Linked DNA regions of Caenorhabditis elegans. The protein of the gene in region 2 interacts with the protein of the main gene of each other region in a pairwise test. Each region holds a gene or a part of one and is shown on either strand. Other genes may lie near its edges.

Region 1 (4,702 bases), on a different chromosome or scaffold from region 2:
AATTGGCTTTTGAACCTGATGTGTTGGACTTGGGCTTCCATTTGACAGGGGTTTTACTGGTTCGAACTGGAATTTTTCAAAGTTTTATAATACAGTTTTGTAGAAAAATTAATGCTGATAATTTTTGCAGTTGGAATTTTTTTCCTAGCTATCACGGTTTTTGAGATAATCGCAATTTAAAACTGGGTGAAAGTGGCGCAGTGGCTAACATGGATGCCTGGGACTCAATCGGTGCAAAAAGTGCTCAGTTCAAGGTCGGGCTTTAACAAAACTTTTTTGCATACTGAAATCAAGCTGGGAACAGATTTTCACACAATTTTAACAATTGTTAATAAATTTTTGAAATAGTTGGAAATTCTACAATTTTCAAAAAATTAATATATAGAAAATTTTACGCTGATCCTTTTTGCAGTTGGAAGCTTTTCTCCAGCTATCACGGTTTTCGAGATAACCGCATTTTAAATTAGGGTAGAAGTGGCGCAGTGGCTAACACGGATGGCTGGGACTCAATACGTGCAAGAAGTGCCAAGTTCGAGGCCGGGCTACGGCAAACATTTTTTACATTTTTTTCAATGCCAAATTGTTACAGAATTTTTTTCAAACCATTATTAAGTGAGGAATTTTGAATTTTTTTTTGAAAAAAAAAATCTTACCGCTGAAGCAGGAGCTTGTGGCGGTGGTGAAGTGCTTGTGGATTGTGTCCTTGCAAGCACTTTCTGCCCGTTTTGAGTTTGTGCATATGTGAAATGGCTTTCAACATCGATTGATGGCCCGGCTTGAAGTCCACGCTGTAAACTTTTTACATAAGTTTTTCCTCAATTTTTCTGCAAAACCTACCCTCGGCAACTTTGGCGACGCTGAGAAAAACCGTCTCGAGTGGTGCTCTTGCTCGGGTGGAAGAGCAAATTCTCTGCCACGCCGGAGGCTTGCAAAGTCCCCGGGACCTGTTGAGGGGGCGGTGGAGAATCCACGTGGCAAGTCACCTAAAACAATAAAAAATGTTTAGCCACTGCCGGGGTCGAACCCATGACCCTTTGCTCAGATGACACCCAAAATCGCACTGCGCCATTTGGGCATTTTTTTTAAATTTGAGTTTTTTGAAATTTTTTAAAATATACATTTCAAAGATAATTGTTTTTTTTAATTCCAGAGATAAATTTCAATGTTCAGCCTCTTAATTTACCTTGAGACGGAGCCCTTCTAAAGGTAGGCGTAGGCGTCGGAGGTAGGTCATCATATCGATTATTAGCGAATCTTGACGGCGTCACGTGTCCATTATTTTGTTGATGAAGTCCCAAGTCAATTGGGGTCCCGACACGACTGTCTGGGAATGGCGACTCGGCGTTGCGAGCCCGGATCTCGGAGATTGTCTTGGCAAGCGCGGTGGAGTAGCCTGAAATTTTCTATAGTTAAAGTGATAAGATAGAAAATTTTATTCTGAGCATTTTTGCAGTTGGAAGCTTTTCTCTAGCTATCACGGTTTTCGAGATAATTGAAAAATGATATTGGGTGGAAGTGGCGCAGTGGCTAACACAGATGCCTGGGAATCAATCGGTGCAAAAAGTGCCAAGTTCAAGTCCGGGTAGTGGAGAATAATTTTTGTAGAGCCTAAGTATACTGGAAACAACTTTTTTGTTACGGAAAATGTAACTTTTGCCAGATCAAACATTTTCTCAAGTTTTGAAAATTTCAACAATTTGTTCGAAAGGAAATTTTACGCTGATCATTTTTGCAGTTGAAAATTTTTCGCTAGCTATCACGGTTTTCGAGATAATCGCAATTTTAAACTGGGTAGAAGTGGCGCAGTGGTTAACACAGATGGCTGGTGCCCAATCGCAGAAAAAAGTGGCAAGTTCGACCCCGGGCTCTGGCCAAATTTTTTTGCATTGTTATATCCATCTAAAAATTGTTTTTCAAAAACCTCACCATTTCCAGTGCCATTTGGAGCATTAAATCTCTGAGTTGGCGTGTTACTTCTGCTTCCACTAAACCCTAAATTGATCGGACGGCTTAGCGGAGGTGGTTTAGCTGAAAAATGTAAAAAAAAATTCAGTTTGGAGCTCAGAAAAAGTGCAAACCTTGCTCAAAATGTGCTCTTCTGGGAATTTCCGGTGGTCCTCTGCGATATGTGGTGTAGTCCGAGTTGTAGCCTCCTTGCATTCGGCTTCTGATGTCTTGGACCGTTTTTTTCTGAAAATTTGGAATTTGCAACTAACTTTTTGAAATTCTGATAATTTTTTATTGTCGCGTTGCGGTCGCGTCGCGGTTTTAAATTTTTTCAAGCTCACCTTCTCCACCTCCTTGTGTGGTGCCAGAACATCATCAAAATCGCTCATCAAATTATCCAAGGAGTCGCTGAAAATACTGTTATCCAGCAGTGGGGACATCAAATGTCGGTCTGCTCCATTGCCACGTAGTGTCATATTTGTCGGGGTGCCTGGAAAAGTACTTAATGGGCAATTTTTCAATGTTTCAGACTGATTTTCAAACTAAAAAGACTTAGAAAAAATTATTCGACCCTAGCCGGGATCGAACCCTGGTCATGTGCGTGGGGCCAAAATCCAAAATCCCACTGCGCCATTTGGCCGCTTTTCTCAAAATAGCTCAAAATTACCCGATTTTTCCAATTTTTAAACAGAAATATAGGTTTTAAACTATTTTAAATTTGTTTAAAATAGTTTTGAATAACAAATTTCACGTTTTCTACCACTTTTTAGAGTTTTCGCAAAAAACCTCACCTTGTCTCGACACAAATCCATTGCTAACATTCTGTGCGTAGGAAACGAATCCCAAATCGATATGATATCCATATGGACAACATTTGCACTTGTTCAACGAGTTATTATTCTGATTTTGGTCGCTTCCAGAAGATGGTGACGTCATTGAGTTCGGTGACACGTCACACGAGACCCCTGATGACGTGGAAGTGTCGTTTGGCGGGCTCCGCTTGACAATTGTGGCAGACGTTGAGGCGGAAGACATACTTCCGCCAATATCACGCATTTGTGATGGTTACCTGAAAAATTTTAAATTTTTTTGGGGGGGGGGGGGGGGGGAATGGAAGAAGTAGCAAAAATCGGAGTAGAAAATAAGAGAAAAATTTGAAAATTTGAAGAAAAGACATTAATTTGATGATGGGAGTATGTTTTTTTTAATAATAAAACTTAACAAAAAATTTTGACCCAGCGGGGGATCGAACCCCGGTCTTGTGGGTGCAGCCATAATCCCACTGCGCCATTGGGACACTTTTCAGAAAAATGCTCCAAAATCCAATTTTTTTGAAGATTCAAAGTTAAATTGCAATTTTCATAGTTTAAAACTCTCTAAAACTGTAAGTTAGGGAAAAAAGTGGACTATAAAACATTTTTTTCAAAAATAATTTTTAAAAAGTTTTAAAAAAACTCAGGAAAAGTTGCCCGAAAGTGATTTTCCAATTCAAAAATGGTTTCTACATTACACATCAACAAAACAAAAAAAATTGTCCTCCACCGGGAATCGAACCCAGGTATTGTGCGTGGAGTCAAAAACCAAAATCCCACTGCGCCACTCGGACATTTTTTTGGAAAATGCTCAAAAATAACCGAATTTCAAAATTTCAAAAGGCAAATTTGAATTTCTCAACGTTCTAAGTACGATTTTCACATTTTCAATTAAAAAATCTCGCCGATAAACCGGAAAATATTCAAATTAAGCGGGAAAACTACAATTTTCGGGTAAAACTTGGCGCCTAAAAATGTGAAAAAAAAATATTCCTTGGAGAGAAAAAGATACGTTCTTTCTTTACCCCCTCCTTACAATGAAATCATCTCGTCGTCAATTCAACTTGATTGATAGAAGGCGCGGCGCCAAAATGAGAAAAAGAGACATGAGACGAGAGGGAGAGAGACGCAGACACGTAGTGAAGGACGACTATTCTGATGATAAGGGTGTGGTTTGTCTCACTCATTATGCAAAAATTATTATTACATTTGTATATTTTAGGGTGGAAAAGAAAAATGGAAATTTACATTTCGGCGGAAAAATCCGAGAAATTTCGGTTTTCTTCTGTTAAAATTTGATACAAAACTAAAAACTGGACTAAAATCGTCTAAAACCCAAAATTTAACAACAAAAAAAATCAGTGATTTTGAGCATTTTTCTAAAAAGTGTCCGAGTGGCGCAGTGGGATTTTGGACTTCGGCTCCACGCGCAAGACCGGGGTTCGATTCCCACAAGGGTCTAATATTTTTGTTTTGTCGTTTTGTGAATGAAAATGTAAACAGAATTAATGAAACCCAGCAAAACTGCAGAAATTCTGTAAAAATATTGCCAATTTTCGGGTAAAAATACGCAACACAAAGAATTTCTCTACCCTTATCACAAGATGGGTGGTGATAAAGTGATGGGAGGTTAATTTAGTGATTATATCTGTGATATTGGGTCATTCATCATTCCATGGAAGAGATTGAACCGGAAATTCTACACAAGAAAGCGGAGAATGCGGATCAAAGTAGTGGAGTAAGGATGAATTGAGGAAAACTAAAAACTGCAGAAAAATACGAGGAAAATCGATTTTTTTTCGTAAGTCTGATGGTTTAAAAGACTTAAAAAGACCAATTAGAAAAAAATAAAAATATTTGACCCTAGCGGGGGGTCGAACCCCGGCCTTGTGAGTCGAGCCAAAATCCGAAATCCCACTGCGCCATTCGGACAGTTTTCAGAA
Region 2 (4,697 bases):
AAACTAACTCAATTTTGTGTCATTTTACTAAATTTTTGGCGAAAAAATCAATAATTTTAGTCAAAATTGTACTGTAAAATTTTTGACGTGTGCGGCAAATTTCGAAATTTGCCGAGCTCGGCAAATTCGGCAAATCTACTTTTTTGAAATTTGCCGTGCTCGACAAATCGGCAATTGCTGGTTTTTTTAAATTTGCCGAATTTGGCAAATCGGCAAATTTGCCGAGCTCGGCAAGTCGGCAATTTTCGGCAAATCGGCAAATTTGCCGCACACCCCTGATACAAAAACAGAGAATTTTTTAAGAGAGAGTCGCATTTTTCACAAAGATTTTTAAAAAATTTAGAAAAGTCCTATACATTTTCAAGTTGCGATCAAAAATGGAACAAAAAGAAGCTGTTAAGTTTTGCTTATTCAGTCAAACTGTTACTATAAAACATAAAATTCAAAAGTTCAAGAAAATCATTTAGATATGTAACCAAATAATATTCTGTGAAACCGTGATTACGATTTTAGATTTTAGGTAGGTATTTTCATTAGAAATTAGTCGAATATTATTTGGTTACATATCTAAATGATTTTCTTGAACTTTTGAATTTTATATTTTATAGTAACAGTTTGACTGAATAAGCAAAACTTAACAGCTTCTTTTTGTTCCATTTTTGATCGCAACTTGAAAATGTATAGGACTTTTCTAAATTTTTTAAAAATTCTACTGTTTTCACTTTGCTACATAATATGTGAAAAGTTTGAATATTGATGAATTCCAGTGAATTACACTTTTAAACAATTCAATTTTCAGGTTTTTAAGAATACAATAATTGTTTTTAAATTTACTTTAATTGCTTAAATTGATACAGTTTCAGGTTTCTGACTAAAATTTTCGAAAACTTGGACACTGCGATATCCAAAAAAAATTGTTCTTGAAAGTAGGGAAATTCTGAAACAGTTCCAATTGTGCAACAAATTTTTTTTTCAACATTTGAGTTATGTACCAATAAGATTGAAATCAATAATTTTTTATGGTGGAGGTAAAATTTAATACTACATTGAAACATGGTAAAATGTTGAAAATATTATACTTAAAAATTTGCACAAAAAATAAACTGTTCCAAAAAACAAGCACATGTAAAAAAGTTAGCTATATTGGAGTTGTTTTAAAATTTTTCACGGTTCCAAATGTTTAATATAAAACTTTAGAAACATTTTATCAATGATGTGCTTTCAAAAAAATGCAGAAGACAGGGAAACCATAAAAAACAAATTAGTTTCAACAGAAAAAATTATTTCAAACGCATTATCAGAGTAATTCAAAATCAACTTTTGAAATATTCTAATCATTATTATAGGGGGTTTCGCAATAAATTAACTTTTAAGGTGTTTAATATTGAAAACTTACAATTAAACGACTTCACAAAAAATCACTGTTTCAAAAAACTAATTTAAAAAATGCAAAAAGTTCATTGGCATTAGGAAAATCGTTCACATTCCAAATAAGTTTCCAAAACCACACCCAAAGAGGTGTGGTGGTGAAACAGAGAAATAAGATATTCATCTTGAAAACTAATTAATCAACTTCATTTCGAAAATTCAATAAATCCTGTCGAACTGGGACATTTCAACGGATTAATTGGTTAATTAATTGATTGAGTTATTCTAGAACATTAAGGAAGTCGTTTTGACTTTAAAACTGAAAATTTAAGAAAATTCCGAGAGCTTACTAATTTATAAAATCTGATAACGAATATTTATAAGGAAAGCGAAATAGTTAATTTTCTTAATATTTTTTTATTAACAAGTAATATTCTTCTGTTGATATTATGCTACCAGAAAATGTCAATATTAAAAAAAAACAATGTGAAACGGTCAAAATTTTGATATTCACATTTTTTTTTTCCTTTTTCAAGATTTAGATTTTTAAAGATTATTTTTAATTTGCTAAAAAAAAAGTTTAAAGTAAATTCTTTAACGGAAAAGTAAATTCAGAAATTAAATAACATGAATCTGAAGCAGTTATTTGTTTGTTTTTACTTCTTCTTTCATCCAGTTTAAAATTTTCTGATTAAAGGATTCCACCCCCTATGAAAGTTCGACTAAACTGACTTCAACCCACTTTTTAAACCGAAAATTGAAACACTCTACAGTTTCAGCATCTTCATTTAATTTTTCTAATTTTTATTGACTCAGTAAGAATGTTGCAATTTTCGGTTTAAAAAGCGGTTTGAAGTCAGTTTAGTCGAACTTTCATAGGGGATCGACTTCAATTTGATAAATGATTTAATTTGATCTTCTCATAATAAAAAGGTCAGCAGAACAATTCATTGATAAAACTTTGAAAATATAACATTTCTTTGAAACAGCGATATTTTCGATTTTTTTTTCTATTTGAAAAAAAATGAATTTTAGGGTATTACGAGCCATCAACATACAGAAAACAGCTCTAAAAAGTCGCTGGAAGCAATTTAGATTTAAAAAAATTACTTCAACAAAAATGTTTGAAGCTGTTTTTTTTTCATTTTCATCCTGTTTGAAATTCTGGTGACTTATTAAATTTCATTTAACATCTATTGCGAAATAGTCAATTTTTGAGAAATATTTCAGTCTCAAAATTTATTTGCAGTAATGGATTTTCAAATACGTTGAAGTTAAATTTTAGGTTAAAAAATTTCGCAAAAATTACCGTTTCATAACTTCTATTTCAAAAAAAAGTTCAAATATTTTCTAGTTCTGCTTTCCTTAGTTTGTTGAGTTAATTCGTCTCACACCTTTTAGATTGTCAGCAATTTTTAGAAAATTGACACAATTTTGGGAGTAATTATCAAATACTTGGATTTTCAATACAAAACAAGTTTAAAGCTTTAAAAACTTTATTTCAATTGTAAAATTTGACTATCTCAATATGTAATCAAATTTGCCTTGTATTTGTGTTTAAATTATTTTCATAAAACAATATACTAACCTCTGATATGGATCCCCGCTCGGTGGACCCATCGATCCACCTCGACGCATCATTTTTAATAGATGTTTTACACTTCTTCACTGATGATAAATTTCCTCGCTTTTTAAGCAAATGGCATTTGACTGGCTGAAATAAAATCAAATTTAATTTAACTTTAAAGTTATGGAAGAAAAATTGAAGCATTGGGTTTTCGAAAAATTGTAGTTGGAATTGGAAAAGTAAAAAATATATGACATTTTGAAAACCAATAAAAACATGAGAAAAGTTTTGTTTTATTTTTTGAAAAAGACTCAGAAAATCCACCGAGCAATGTTTTTAAAAAATCAATGTTTCTTATAAACAACGTGAAACAGGAAAATTTTAAAGTTTTGGTTTAAAAAATTAACGAAATGATATGTTACAATAAGGAAGAAATTTTCATTTTTAATTATAAAGTGGAAAACTTGAATTCAAATCTCAAAGTTTGGCTCCTTTTTCGTAACTGTAAGAAATTCTAATGAATTTTAATTTTCGTGGAAAGTTTTAGGAAAATATAATTGAAGTTTAGAAACAATTTTTTAATTTTAATTTGGAAACTAGAGTTAAGAAAGCAAAAAGAGAGTATAATGGGAAGTTTTACCATGTTTTATATAACAAATGAAAATAGTGAAAAATATTGTTTTGAAAATAACATCATGAAAGCGAAAGCAATTTATGTGAAAATTAAAATTGAAAATTGATTAATTATTTTTAAAAAAACTTGAAACAGTGATAATTTGTTTCAAAAAATTAACAAAAAGATTGAGAGAAGAGAACATTAAAGCGGCTAGAGTGAGAAATTGAGAGAAAAATCTGAATTTTAAATTAAAACATTTTCAATTCACTGATTTATTTTTCACTAAAAACTTTTGTGAATCTGGAAATTTTAGTGAATAAAACAATACTCGGAAAATCAATGATAAATTTAAAAACAACTAAAAATTCTAGCAATAGCTATACTCTTGAAAATCAAGTCAATCAGATCTGAAATTGAATGAAAAATATAGGAGTAAGATTTATTTTTGTAGATGTATTAACATGACAGAATTAATTAAAGTAATTGAGTTAGATTTCAAAATCAATTAAAAATCGTAAATAACTTGAAGCAGTGATTATTTTTCAGATTTACGAAGAAAAAACAGAAAAAGATAACTTCTTCAACTGAAGATTTTGAAAATTGAGATTGAAAACGAATCTGAACGAAAACCGTATATTCTGTGCTAACAAGTTACATTTTTGAAACAGCATAATTTTTTTTGAAACGTATACAAGATGGATTTTAGACAATTTCATAAAGAATTCGCCACCGCTTTTTTTTCTATATTTAGCAATAGGAAAAATTGAAATTGAAGCAATGTTGCAAAAACCCCTATAACGCTGAAATAAAGAGTGTGAAACTGCAGAAAATTTAATGCAAATTTTCATAAAATTTTCTGTAAGCTTTCAAGTTTTCAAACTACAAAATCCCTTTTTAAAAACATCCAAAGAAACAAAAGAAAATTGAATTTCGTGAAATTTTCCAAAATCTGTTGTAACTGGGGAAAAAGTAAAGAAAATCGAATCAAAGAAATAATAAGTATCCGGGCCCCAGCATTCTCTAGTTTTCCTTCAACTTTTCCTCCAAAATCCATCCATCTTCTTCTATTTCCACGCCCCAAAGGCGTGTATCCAGTAGAAACCGAAACAGCAAAAAAACTGTCGATTGAAAAGGTGGGAGAAATAG
Region 3 (4,607 bases), on a different chromosome or scaffold from region 2:
AGAAAAATTTTCTGAAAATTAATATTGCACTCCCTAATAGTCTTGCACTCCCTATTAGTATTGCAAGCGGGAAGACCATCGAACAATAGTATTGCAGTCATATTAATAGAAGAAATACGGTATACAATTTTCAAAACTTCGAAACGAGGTTTATATTAGGTCTCCAAATAAGTTCCGGGTCAAAAATCATAACTTTGTTCGCTGTGTATCGATTTTTATGAAACTTTGGGAATTTATGTTATCAACCATGTTCTTTCATTTGACAATAGTCGCAAAAATTTTTGTACACCTCAAGTGTCCTAACTCGGAGCCAATTTTTCCAGGAATTTTTCCTATCTCGCTTCTTTTAACCTTTGAATTGAGGTTTGTGTGCGGATTTTGCTTTGCTTAAAATACATTATTAGAAAACGACAAAAGTTTAGAAAAAAATCCGTCCAAAAAATTTTTTTTAAATATATAATAATCGTTTTAGTTTGAAATTTGAATCTCGAGAAATATTCAAAAAACTCAAAAATTATCCGAAAAAATTATATTTTCTATTAACATTTTGGTGTATCGAAATAAATTGATATGTTTTGTATGTGTAAAAATAGTTCACGCTTGTTTACATCATTTTTGTAGGGAAAATCTAGAACTTTCGACAAAATTTTTTTTGAACATTTTTTGACGACCAACCAAAAAAAAATTTTTTGGACGGATTTTTTTCTAAAATTTTGTCGTTTTCTAATAATGTATTTTAAGCAAGGCGAAATCCGCACACAAACCTCAATTCAAAGGTCTTCTTTTAGAAGCGAGATAGGAAAAATGCCTGAAAAAATTGGCTCCGAGTTAGGACACTTGGGGTGGACAAAAAATTTTGTGACTGATGTCAAATGAAAGATCATTGTTGATAACATGAATTCCCAAAGTTTCATAAAAATCGATACACAGAGAACAAAGTTATGATTTTTGACCCGGAACTTATTTGGAGACCTAATAGATTTTTCACTTAAAAAATACATGTAAGAACTGTGATTTGATAAGCAAACACATACACAAATCCGGAACCGGAAGATTTTAAAATTAGTATTCTCTTTTCTATTTCATAAAACTTTTATAGTTTTGTGTTTAATCACGTTATGAAAAAGATCAATGATCTGAACTTCGTCAAATCTGATTTAGGATATATTTTGGTTGTTCAGCTCGGTTTGTCTGATGTAAATTATTTTTGAAAATTCTACTGAAACACCTAACTGATTTTATTTTTTCAGATAACAAAAAAAGCAGAGACAATGCCGTTTCTTCGAGAGTAACACAAAATTAGCAAAACTATTCAATATTGTCACATGCCGTGTCAATGTCTAGGGAATTGTAAAAATGGGTGTGGACTTGCGAACGTTTATATTCATTGTATACGCGTCGCACCAAATCCATCATAAAAATTGGATAGAAAGAATGAAGAACAGGAGGTTGGGTGTCCCCCGTGGTTCTCAGTCCCACACAGAAAGGAAAATGTGCCAGAGCACATTTTCTAATTGGTCAACGAGAAGAAGGGCGATTCGTCGTACTACTAACACAAGTCCAGCTGCTTCTCTGACCCAGGGAGAAAAAAGATGGGGGGAAATGGTAAATCTAGTTAAAACTGGAGTGAAGTGAATAAAATGCGAATAGTCAATAGGGGTCGAGCATTTATAACTGCGAATATGGCATTGAAACCTATTGAATTGGAATAACAAGTTGGAGAAGCGACGTTTTGCCGGGAGGCGGCAAAGCGGGAAAGGGGAGAGGAACTGGATTTATTCCATTTTTTTCTATTCTTCCAAACTTCCTTTCCCAAATAAATTATGCCTAAACCTTTTAAAAGTGTATAATTTTATAAATATTGTAGTTTGTAAAAAATTATGATCTAATTATTCTAGATGAGTAGAGAAGATACACTTGATTGGATAGTCTCCCATATTTGGATCACGCATGCGTTGTCCTCAAACTAGGGACCGGGAGTTGACGGACGAGGGAAGGGAGATGTGACCTCTTGGTTTGTCTGCGTCCCGTCTTCCACTCATGCTCTCTTTCAATCCACCATACCAGCTATTACTATCTCTACTCTCGTTTTCTTCCGCGTCTCGTTTACTTGTGACTTTAGAAGAGGATCTCTCACCCTCCCCACACCCTCTCCGGCATATATCTACAGCGAACGGGAATACGAAGGGAACCGAACACTTGGAGGATTAGAGAACCTAACCGCATAAAGCATTAAGAGCGGTTCTGAATCTGTCATCTACACTCGAAGGGCCTTATTGTGGGCAGACAATTTCGAATGAGATTGTGACAATTCATCGAAAAGTAGAAGGAACGTTAAAAACAATACATAAAACTTAACATACTGTTTTTCATGTTTTAACATGAACTTTTTTTTTTTGAGAAACTGAGAAATTACAAAATATTAGTTTTATAATACTTTACGTATAATTTATTTTACAATTTCGCCTTATTTTCTTTCAAAACTGAGAGCAGCTTCCTTTTTTTGAAAAATAGAAAAACAAAAGCTGATACTTCAGAAACAATCGTAAACTTTATCAGTACTTTTTTAATGAGTTTCAAACAATAATCATTTTTTTAGGAAAACTTTTGAATCAACAAATATTCATTAGTTTCGTCAAGTTAATATTTTTCAAGGCTGAATTTTTCCAAATGGTATGAAATTATACCATTCAATTTTTTTTTTGAAATCCAATGCCAAACTCAAATGTTGAAATTATATTTGTTTTTAGTTGAAAAGTAATTTTCACAATTTTCAAGCGCAAAATGCTTACCACATGTGAAGAGTTCATTGTCATTGATTTCTTTCCCAGTACTATGTGAATGACCCCTGAAAAACATTTTCTTCTTTATTAGTATATGTTGTTCGTAAAATTAAAATAAACAAAATACCATGGCCTTATAGTTTTTGAGAAGAATTATGAAATGAACTGAACTCACATTTTTGTTAAGTCCTACATGGGAGAATGTTTTGATGTTTTCAAAGTTAGAAAAGCCTGAAAATTATGAAGTTTGGCTTGAATTAAAAAAAAGAAATAAAAAGAAAAAATCGAAGAAGACAAAAAAAAAAGAACATGGAGGAAAAAAGAAAGGACGCGCAATTGGTGTGAAGGTATGTGTCGAGTACCCGGCTGCCCTCTCTTTTCTCATAACCCATCCAGTGACCAGCAGAGCGCGCTTGCATACTTCTCACTCGTTGTTCACTGCTTATTACTGCGCACTTGGTTCAACACTAACGCCTATTCGCTAGTCAAACAATAACAACAGTTCCTGTCAGATAAATAGTACTAAGCTAGAGGAGATTGGAAACGCGGAGTAGAGACTACAAATACTTTGAACTGATTGAACTTATATGCATACGAAATGAATGGATAATGTTTAAACTGGATATAATTAGTTTTTAGTTGTTTTACAAAATTGTGGTGATTTAATAATTAAAAAAAAGTTATGCTATTCGGATATTTGTGTATTCGCAAAAACCATAGTTTTAAACCAATTAACAAATTGTCAATTACAAATCTAAAATCTAACAATTATTGACAAGACCATACATATTAATAAACAAAAAAGTTTTGCATTGTAAAACCAATCAAAACTTGTCGCCGTTCCTTTTTCGCTATGTTTTATACAAATCTGCGATACGAATTCGTATCGGTTGAAAGTGTGGGGATGAAGTGTGAAATGAAACAAAAAGTGTGATCACAAAGAATGGGACGAGAGGCCAGGAGGTACTCAAAACCCCCGCCAATTTTGTCCCATAAAAATTGGAGCGACGAAAGAGTATGGGAATGCAGTTTGAAATAGAAAAGTTGAACAATAGGTAGTATTCAGATTGACGCATTTTTTAAATGGAAATCAAAACTAAAAGAATCAAAATTTTGAAGAAACAGTACGGTATGCCTCTGAGGGTTGGTTGAGTGAATTCTAACTCATTAGAAAATTGCTGTCCTACTATTTTGAAAACAATAAAAGGGCTCCTTAGACTAAAATATGCTGAAAAGTACCTATCAAGTTTTAAATAAGTTTAAAAATTTTTGGAGATTTGCATTGTTTCACGGACTATATAATTGTACATGAAGCACTAATTTTAAATTGTGTGTTTAAGAATAATTTGTTAATTGAGAACAAATTCCATACTTGAAACACTCAATAAGAACGCACTCTAATGCATACAATAATTCTTTAAAAAAACTCCCAAGTTTTAATAATTGCTGACGAAGATGTTTTGGAAAACGTGATCTCCAAGTAATGAATGCTTGGCAATTACAAATAACTTTTTGAAATCAAAAGATTATATGTGGTTGTATTTCTCCATAAAAAAGTGGAATTGTGTGTAGGGTTTTCAAAAGATGAAAATAGGTTTGTTGTTATAACATGCATATGTAATATGACTATGAAACTGTGCTATTTTGCTAGTGTTAGTGATTTTGATGGTGACAAAGTGTTCTATTTTCGATAATTTTTTTTATTTTTCGTCTTTTCTCCTCGTTTAATTGTTGGAAATTACACATTTACATATTAAGTCTACTAAAATTCTTTCACATTTACATATTAAGTCTACTAAAATTTCTCCCATCCTATTTTTATTT
Region 4 (7,854 bases), on a different chromosome or scaffold from region 2:
GCTTGGCTCATCTCATCGTGATCCGCTTGCTGATCAAAGCGAGAGCGGAACGTCCGGCGAGGTGGCTGCTCGTCAAATCGATTTCTCCTCGGTGGCCGTTGATCCATATCCTGGCCTGGAGCATCATCTTCTCCCTGTCTATCAAACCTACTGACACGGGCTCTCTTAGTCGGAACGGGATCCTGATACTGGGATCCATGTGCATTTGGGGATCCTAGATGACCGCCATCATCATTGTACGCTGGCTTCTGGTCGAATCTCGAGTTGTTCCGAGGAGCAAAGCCTCCACGAGCATATCGTGCTCCACGGAATCCTTCAGTGTCGCCAAATCGGCCACGGTTTCCGCCTGCATTGTCTCTAAAGTCGCGGTCGTGGTGGTTGTTGTAGTTGTTGCGATTGTTGTAGCCTCCACGGAATCCGCGGCCTCGGCCACCTCGGAAGTTGTCGTGGTGATGATTTGGACCGCGTGGTGGGAGCTCTGCCATCTTTTGACGTCTCTGAAAAAGAAATAAGTAAGAATGGAAAAAAAATAGCTTCAAACTGCCACTTACCATCTCCTCGTCATGAATAAATCTGCACTGATCTCCCCGATTACATCCACCCGGGCGGCTGATAAAGTAGACACATGGCTCTGGAATCTTCCAGCCGGATTGAGTCCATCCTTCCGAGTTGCGAGAGTCCTGGCGACGCTCCTGAGCCATCATCTCTGGAGTTGCAAATGTTGCCTGAAATTTTAGACTGTTGCTAATGTATAAATAAGGAGGACTTGGACCAGCGTCGTGTAAAAGTGGGCCGATACCGGGCCTGTCCCGTTTTTGAAGTAAGCTTCCATGGGCCCACACATTTTTAAAGCGGGTCGGACCATTTCAAGCAATTCCAGCCCGTTTTTAAAAGCGAAAAAAACTCACGACATATCCATCCATTGGATAATCTTGCGGCACTTCTTCACTTGCATACGTGTTCCCCTGCTGGAGCATCATCTGCTGAGCAGTCTGCATTGCAGCCGCCAGTGGATCAACCGGCGGTGGAGCTGAAGTCGTCGGCGAAGGAGTCTCATCCGACGAGACGAACCCCTTCTTCTTGAGCTGGTTGAGCATCTCCTTGAGGTTCGATGGAAGCTCGAATCTGCTGGCAGGCTGGGCTGCTGGAGCTGGCTCCGGGGTCTCCGGGACAGAGGTGGTGGCCGTGTAGTAGTTGGTGACCGGTTCCGTTTCCTGGAACACTTGCTGGATGTGTGGAGTCGGCGTCTGGTGGGCTGATTGCTGCTGCTGCTGCTGTGCGTACATCGGACGTCGAGGGTTCTCCGGGCGTTGGCTATGGTAGAGTGGCAACGTGTGGAATCCCTGGTTCGGCTTGACCTGAAGCAGCAAATCTTGTGGACGAACACGTGGCGGACGGCCCGGAAGTGGCAAATCGCGGATAGTGGCGAGAGTGGTGGGCTCCGATGGAACACTGACGGTTGGGATGATGGTCGGCGTGTAGTTGGCACGGTCGACAGCTGCCTGCTCGTTAAGCGCTGGGTTGTCCTCGAGTTGGCACATTCTGGAAACGCAAAAAATTTAAAAAATTTTTATTACAGGTCAATATATGCCTAAAAACTTACCCAAACATGGCCCCTCTCATAATTCCTTCCTCTTCGATACGTCTTTCTTCCCGTAGGCCCGACTCTGACATTTCACTGCGCGCCGGTTTGGACCGCTTCACCGGCACCAGCGACCACTCGACATCCTCAAAAACTTCCATCTCCTGGCCAAACGCGGCGGCCTCATTTCGCTCCGAACACCGATAGTCGGCAACATTCGAGTGGACTGAAAGAAGAGGCGCATTAGTTTTAGTGGTAGGCTCTAGTGGCGGCGTACTTGCTGCAATACGTTCAATTTCCTTAACATGCACCAGTGGAAGACCTCGCGTGTCGGCGAAGATGAGGCGACGGGTGCCACGCTGATTGAGGTTGGAGATAGCTGGACCACGGAGAATTCCACGGTTTGGCTTCTGAAAATACTTGAGGGCGATTAGTAATAGTTTTTGCTTGTTTTCAAGAAAGTAGCTGGATCAGAGCTTGCTTGTTCTAAAAAGCCATAATTTTGGGCTCGAAATTCATTTGTAGAATTTTTTTTCCGAACTGTCCAGTACCATGGACGAATTGGCGCGCAATTACACTCAATTTTAAAAGGTAAATTTTCCAAAATTCTAACACCGCCTCATTGAAGCAAATGCGCTCTACCGAAACTGAGCAAGTTTGGTTGTCAAATTCCCGTTGAACGATTTCTCAAAGAGCGGGATCAGAGCACGCTTGCTCCAATAAACCATAAATTTTGAGCTCGAAATTCATTTGTAGAATTTTTGCCCGAACTGTCCAGTACCAAGGCACACAACTCTGCTCAATTTTAAAAGATAAAATTTCAATTTTCCTAGCAGTCGGCGTTTCCAACAGTCTAGCACAGTCTCATTGAAAAAATGCAGATGCGCTCTACCGCCACAAAGCAATTTTAGTTGTCAAATTCCTTTTTTAACCTACCAATTTCAGTGCGGCAAGTCCCGCATCCTCTCCATCATCTGTGGCGTGTCGTTTTCCTGAATAAATCGCCGTCGGCACCGCTGCTGCTGCGGCAACTGCTTCCGGCTTCGGTTTTCGCTTCACAATCCGGATTCCTGGGTTGGATGGCGAGTAGGAGACTGAGCCTGAAAATATTGATTGGTATTATTGAGATTTTCTGGAATTTTGAAAAAAAAAATTAAAGTATTCAAACAAACTTGGCATCAAGACTGAAATGTGCTCTTTCTGAAACGGTATGGGTACGGGGCAGGGGAGACGGGGAAATGGGAACAATTTTGTAAAAGTTTTGAGGCGTTTTAAGGGGTTCCCATTCAAATTGCAAGAAAAAAATCAATAGCGCTAGATTACGTCACCTAGAAATTCCACGTGTTGAAACATCCGTCGAGGTATAAAATTGTCATTTTTTCGAGTTTATGAGCGTCTTTTATTCCGTGTTTTGAATTTTTATCCAAAAATTTTTATAGTCCAAACTTTTTCGCGGCAATCTTTTTATTGATTTCCTTATCAATTTTTTAAAGTAGCATCGTTTTTTTTCCAAAAAATTCCAATTTGTGCGCAATAACTCACAAGGCATATTCCACGGTTTATTCCAAAAATAGAGCGTACTTGTTCATTATTGTGAATTTAAGTTTTGGCCTACAAGGGGATACCAATAGGAAAATTATCTCACCGAGTTTTGCAATTTATCGATTTTTAAAAAATGTTTTGAGTAAAAACAAAAGAATCGTCGTAAAATTTAATACAAAAATTGACAACTGAAACGGCTCTTCATCGGAAACCTCGAAACATTTCAATTTGCAAGCAATTTTCTCTAAAACATTTCTACTAGTAGTAAGTACAGAAATCAGATTTTTGGGAGATCAAAATTTCAAGATTACAACGTTTTAAGCCACTACAAATTTGGAAAAGTCACATTTCTTTGCGAAAAATAAGTAAGTGTTCTTCAGAATTCATAACGCCTAACCTATCCGACTATTACAAAAATTCAGACCATAAATATTAATTTTTTACATTTTCTCAATCGCTGAGCATTCTAGACATTTTCAAAATTCTAGACATCCTTCAAAAATGATCTACTCAAACTTTTCTTTCAAATTCCCAATCAAAAATGTTCAATTTATCGATTTCCGCATTCAAAAACGTCCACGGGCGGCAATTTTTCCAAAATTTCAGCCCGTGCACTTCTGATGATTTTTCTGGAATTTCATATATCTTTCATATATATCTTCTCCGCCATTTTGCTCGGCTCTGCAAACGAAACCACTGTAGAATATTCCATATGAAGCTGAGAGCATCTGCAAAAAAACTCCGGACGCACAAAAAAATAGAAAAAAAGAAGAAATCAGAAACATAGAAAAAACATGGAGAACAACTTATTGGGGAGTCTGAAAAGTGATGGGGATTCACAATTGAGAAGAGGCTTCCATAAGAGTGACCATAGTTCCCGGGTATCCATAGTCTTTTTTTAATAATAAATCTCGGTTTTTGTCCGCTTTTAAAATTACATTTTCCCATTTTTCCAAGACCTTTCAAAATTTTGCTAAAGTTCTGGAGAGTTCTATAATTCATTAAAATGTGAATAGTCGTATCTACGCTACATAGAAATAGGGGCTGGGAAAGTGGGAATCGGCGGGTGGGAAGAGCACATCTCCATCTCATTCCCAAGTGTCGGAGCTTCCATGTACCTGAAATGTGATGTTAGGATACAAATTCTAAAGAGTTTTCCACCTACCTCCATATTTCTGCCGCGTTGTCTGATCCTCGGGCTTCACTGGAGTCGTCTTCGATGTGGATGGCGCGGTGAGTGGTGTCGGTACGTAGACTGCTGAAAATTTGAAATTTAAAATTGAATTTGAACTGCCTATTGGAAATTATTAGAATATATTCAAGGAAGATTCAAATTTTCTTGTATTTTTAGAGTATTTTTTATCTAGAATATCTGGAATCTAGCAGTTTCTTGAAAAAATATCCACCGAGAAAAATGTCGGAACGTAAGAAATATGTCCAGAAGTATAACAATTGTTCAAAAAATTCAAAAGCTATCAGATACATGGAACAAAATTTGCCAGATTGATTCCGGTCTACTCAAAAACTCGGTCAACTTCCAGAACTTACCCGTACTTGCCAAAAAAGCTCCAGTGAGTGAGCAAAAGTCTGCAGCTCTTACTGAAGATATAGAACTTCCCTAAAAATGCCAGAAATCTGCAGAAAGTTAACAGAAAGTATTCAAAAGCCTTCCACATTTTCTTCAAATCCCATAATTTTTCTAGACTTTTCCAAACTTCTAGAAATGTTTTCGAAAACTGTACAACCCTTCAGAACTTGGCACAACTTGCCAGATATTTTCCATGCATTCTTATGTCTTTGTGAACTTTGAATGAATTTGCCGTAATCTTGCCCGATCATCACAAAACTTCCAAAATTCTCCAAAAGACCTCAGATCTGTTCAGGACATTTCTGAAATATTAAAAGTAGTCGCAAGTTTCAATCTAGTTTCAAAAAGCACCATAGACCCCCAAAGTTTAAAACGAAAAATTCCAGCTGTACTAAAATAGTCGGATTCAATTTTTCCAGCATTCTACTAGAGGATAGAAAAAAAAATAGGCCACAGCTTCAGCATAGTCAGCAAGTTGTTCGAAATCAGGCCGTTATCACTTTGTAATAATTGTTTCCCTATCCCTTTTTCTCGCGGAACCAGGACACATCTTATCTTCTCTATAGAAAATACGTAGTCACTGTTCTCAACTTGAAATTAGGCCCAAAGAGGGAAAAAGAGAAGAGCGAGAGCCTATCCTAAATGACTTAAGCTTCTGAGCCTTGAAGTGAAAGCCTAATAATCCAAGAAACATAGCTGGTTCCTGCTAGGTAGAAGCTTGAAGTTTTCCTGCTGGTCCCATATAGCCAAAGTTGAAGTCCAAGTCCAAGTATCTTGACTTCTGGATTCTACTGCTCTCAGCACGTCAGAGGTGCTCCAAGATGCCGAGGGCACTTCAGAACCTGAAAATTCGTGTCCAAAGCCCGGTCATCCCTTTCTGGGTATCCGACCACATCTGGGGCATTTCTGTTCCTCACATTATTTTCCTTCATATTGTGCGGTTAAAACAGAACTCTTTATTTCAATTGTCTCTCTGAAAACGGTTTTTTCTTTTTCGCCAACCCGGAACTGTGTCACAAAGAAAAATGAAAGTGCTTGATATCAAGATTCGAGATCGAAGAAATAGGATGAAGTGGAGAAGAAAATAAGGAACTTGCAAATTAGAATTCAAATTCAAAAATAGTAGAATTCCGATGACTTACCCGGAGAGTCGATGGAGGTGTTCGGGGATCCCACTGCTGGCAGGAAGGCGCCGTCCATTGTCTTGGTCGGGGTGTAGACGTCGGCCATTGGAGACGGTGTTGGTGCGGAGTTGAGCTGCTGGCGGCTTCTGCTGCTTCTGCTTTGTGTAGATTTTCTGGAAATTTTGTAAGAGTTTAATTTGAAGAGAATATTAGTGAATTTAAAAAAAAAAGAGGAAAAATCAAAGAAAATTTTAATTTTAAAAAGTTGAGGGAAACTAGAAGAAAACCAGGAGAAAAAACTCGCCAAAATCAGCCTAATACATTTTCGAAACGCGCAATGTGTGCGGGAGAGTGTTTGTGTGAGCGTGCGTTTCCCTATCGATCGTAGACACAAGAGACCCCCGGCAGTCAAATAGTGAGGAAATATCCCGAGCAGGCAGCCAGAGAGTGGTTAGAGATCGCCCGCAGTCGACGAGAGAGTGCAGGTGGCGAGGGAAAAGAGGCACGAGACGACGAGAGCGTGTATCATGTGGGCTGTCGAATGCGACCACTTGGGTCCCTCACCGATGTCTGCATACACACTGACGACAAGTTGCGGAGCGTGTTTTTTGGAGAATAATGGTTAAATGCATATTGGATATTGATGGAAGTTCATGAATTTTGTGAGTTTTTAAAATTTCAAAGCAATTTTTTTTTTGAATTTGAAGCTCAGCCAACCAAAAACTTATATTTTGAGAAAAGTTTTCAATCGAAAGACCATTCCAGAACAGTTTCACCAGAACAGATTCTAACGACTTTTCATGCAATACTAAAAACTAAAAAAGTTGATAAAAGTTTGTCGATGCACCATGATTTTTGCAATTGCTTCAGGAATTTTCAAATGAAACATAAATTTTTACAGATTCCTTTTTGGCTGGGAGCAGATTGTCAAAAAATCGATAAGACTACAGAAAATCAGTGGAGTTCAGGAAAAATAATTGGTTTTTGAAAATTATTTCTAGCTACATATAAGGGAAAGTATTCGACAGACAGGCTACCCGTAAAGACATAAAGCAGGAGTTAAATGGAATTGTGAGGAAAATTGTCAAACGTGCCAATTTGTTGAAAATCACAGAAATCGATGCACTATGATGTTAGCTTACAGAAACTTGAACCGAGTTTACATGAATTTTTTGGTGAAACAGAAATTTTTTCACTATCCTAGTCAACTGGAAGAATACTGTCGTTTTGAATAAATCATTTAAAAATGCCGTTTGAAAATAATCGAATCCAGACAAAAGTCTTCGATTTTGAGCATTTCTCACAAAAAAGTCCATTTTAGAGATTCTATGAATTAGGTTTACTATTTTGAAATTCACAAACTTTGATGAACCATGATGTTTGCTCTTAAATACGTGGACTAGTTTGTCAGAATCGTTTTACAGAAGGAACCTCTCGGATAAAAGAAAATTGTCAAGATAACGTGGAAGTTGCAGGGAACTACCAGATGTCAGGGAAAATTATTTTGAAGGGACTCAATTGACAATTAGTGCATGAAGGCAGACAATACAGGACTCGAATGATACTTTAAGAGAAATTAAAAAAATGTCGATGCACCATGATGCTAGCTTCCACAAATTTGAACCGCGTTTAACAGAAATTTTTGCAATTTGCTTGCCGGATAAAAGAAGATGAAAAACTTCTAGAAACGCCTGAAAACACTTAAATTGGAATCAAAATCCTGGAATTTTCGAACATTTTTCACAAAAAATCATTTCTTTGGCAATATCCTAGAATAATTTTCTGGAAATTAAGTGATTTAATAACCAATTTTTGATATAAAATTATTTATTTAGAGAAACTTTTCTTCTTTAGTAGCAGTTTTGTATGTAATCTTAAAAAAATGACAGTGAACAGTTGTAAATGAGCAATTCTAAACTGAACGTTCTAGTGTTCAGCATTAAAATTAAAACTTTAGCGTGAAATTTTGATATCCTACAAAAGTTTGCTACTTGTAAAAAAAAAATATAATTTCGATT

What was found.
Region 1: the proteins of eps-8 (region 2) and vab-19 interact in a two-hybrid assay, tested with the Caenorhabditis elegans proteins (one study listed by BioGRID).
Region 3: the proteins of eps-8 (region 2) and abl-1 interact in a two-hybrid assay, tested with the Caenorhabditis elegans proteins (2 studies listed by BioGRID).
Region 4: the proteins of eps-8 (region 2) and zfp-3 interact in a two-hybrid assay, tested with the Caenorhabditis elegans proteins (3 studies listed by BioGRID).

The regions. Positions count from the first base shown.
Region 1 is NC_003280.10:2,441,593-2,446,294, reverse strand, and holds the start of vab-19 (ANK_REP_REGION domain-containing protein), read right to left. Parts: upstream 3,017-4,702; 5' UTR 3,004-3,016; coding exon 2,739-3,003; intron 2,438-2,738; coding exon 2,289-2,437; intron 2,191-2,288; coding exon 2,079-2,190; intron 2,029-2,078; coding exon 1,927-2,028; intron 1,394-1,926; coding exon 1,184-1,393; intron 984-1,183; coding exon 838-983; intron 789-837; coding exon 654-788; intron 67-653; coding exon 1-66.
Region 2 is NC_003282.8:14,877,875-14,882,571, reverse strand, and holds the start of eps-8 (SH3 domain-containing protein), read right to left. Parts: upstream 3,010-4,697; coding exon 2,957-3,009; intron 2,903-2,956; exon of another isoform or gene 2,882-2,902; intron 2,744-2,881; exon of another isoform or gene 2,723-2,743; intron 2,531-2,722; exon of another isoform or gene 2,509-2,530; intron 2,311-2,508; exon of another isoform or gene 2,290-2,310; intron 2,206-2,289; exon of another isoform or gene 2,185-2,205; intron 1,966-2,184; exon of another isoform or gene 1,945-1,965; intron 1,816-1,944; exon of another isoform or gene 1,795-1,815; intron 1,721-1,794; exon of another isoform or gene 1,697-1,720; intron 1,644-1,696; exon of another isoform or gene 1,623-1,643; intron 1,491-1,622; exon of another isoform or gene 1,468-1,490; intron 1,236-1,467; exon of another isoform or gene 1,215-1,235; intron 1,013-1,214; exon of another isoform or gene 989-1,012; intron 923-988; exon of another isoform or gene 902-922; intron 779-901; exon of another isoform or gene 758-778; intron 1-757.
Region 3 is NC_003284.9:10,621,187-10,625,793, forward strand, and holds the start of abl-1 (Tyrosine-protein kinase abl-1), read right to left. Parts: upstream 3,004-4,607; 5' UTR 2,961-3,003; coding exon 2,959-2,960; intron 2,849-2,958; coding exon 2,793-2,848; intron 1,522-2,792; exon of another isoform or gene 1,397-1,521; intron 1-1,396. UniProt on the Caenorhabditis elegans protein: Functions downstream of migratory protein mig-13 and is involved in Q neuroblast migration during larval development.
Region 4 is NC_003284.9:1,440,635-1,448,488, forward strand, and holds the start of zfp-3 (C3H1-type domain-containing protein), read right to left. Parts: upstream 6,010-7,854; 5' UTR 5,943-6,009; coding exon 5,855-5,942; coding exon of another isoform or gene 5,826-5,854; intron 4,383-5,825; coding exon 4,290-4,382; intron 4,243-4,289; coding exon of another isoform or gene 3,773-4,242; exon of another isoform or gene 2,762-3,772; coding exon of another isoform or gene 2,755-2,761; exon of another isoform or gene 2,683-2,754; coding exon 2,519-2,682; intron 2,002-2,518; coding exon 1,860-2,001; intron 1,809-1,859; coding exon 1,604-1,808; intron 1,543-1,603; coding exon 909-1,542; intron 726-908; coding exon 552-725; intron 498-551; coding exon 1-497.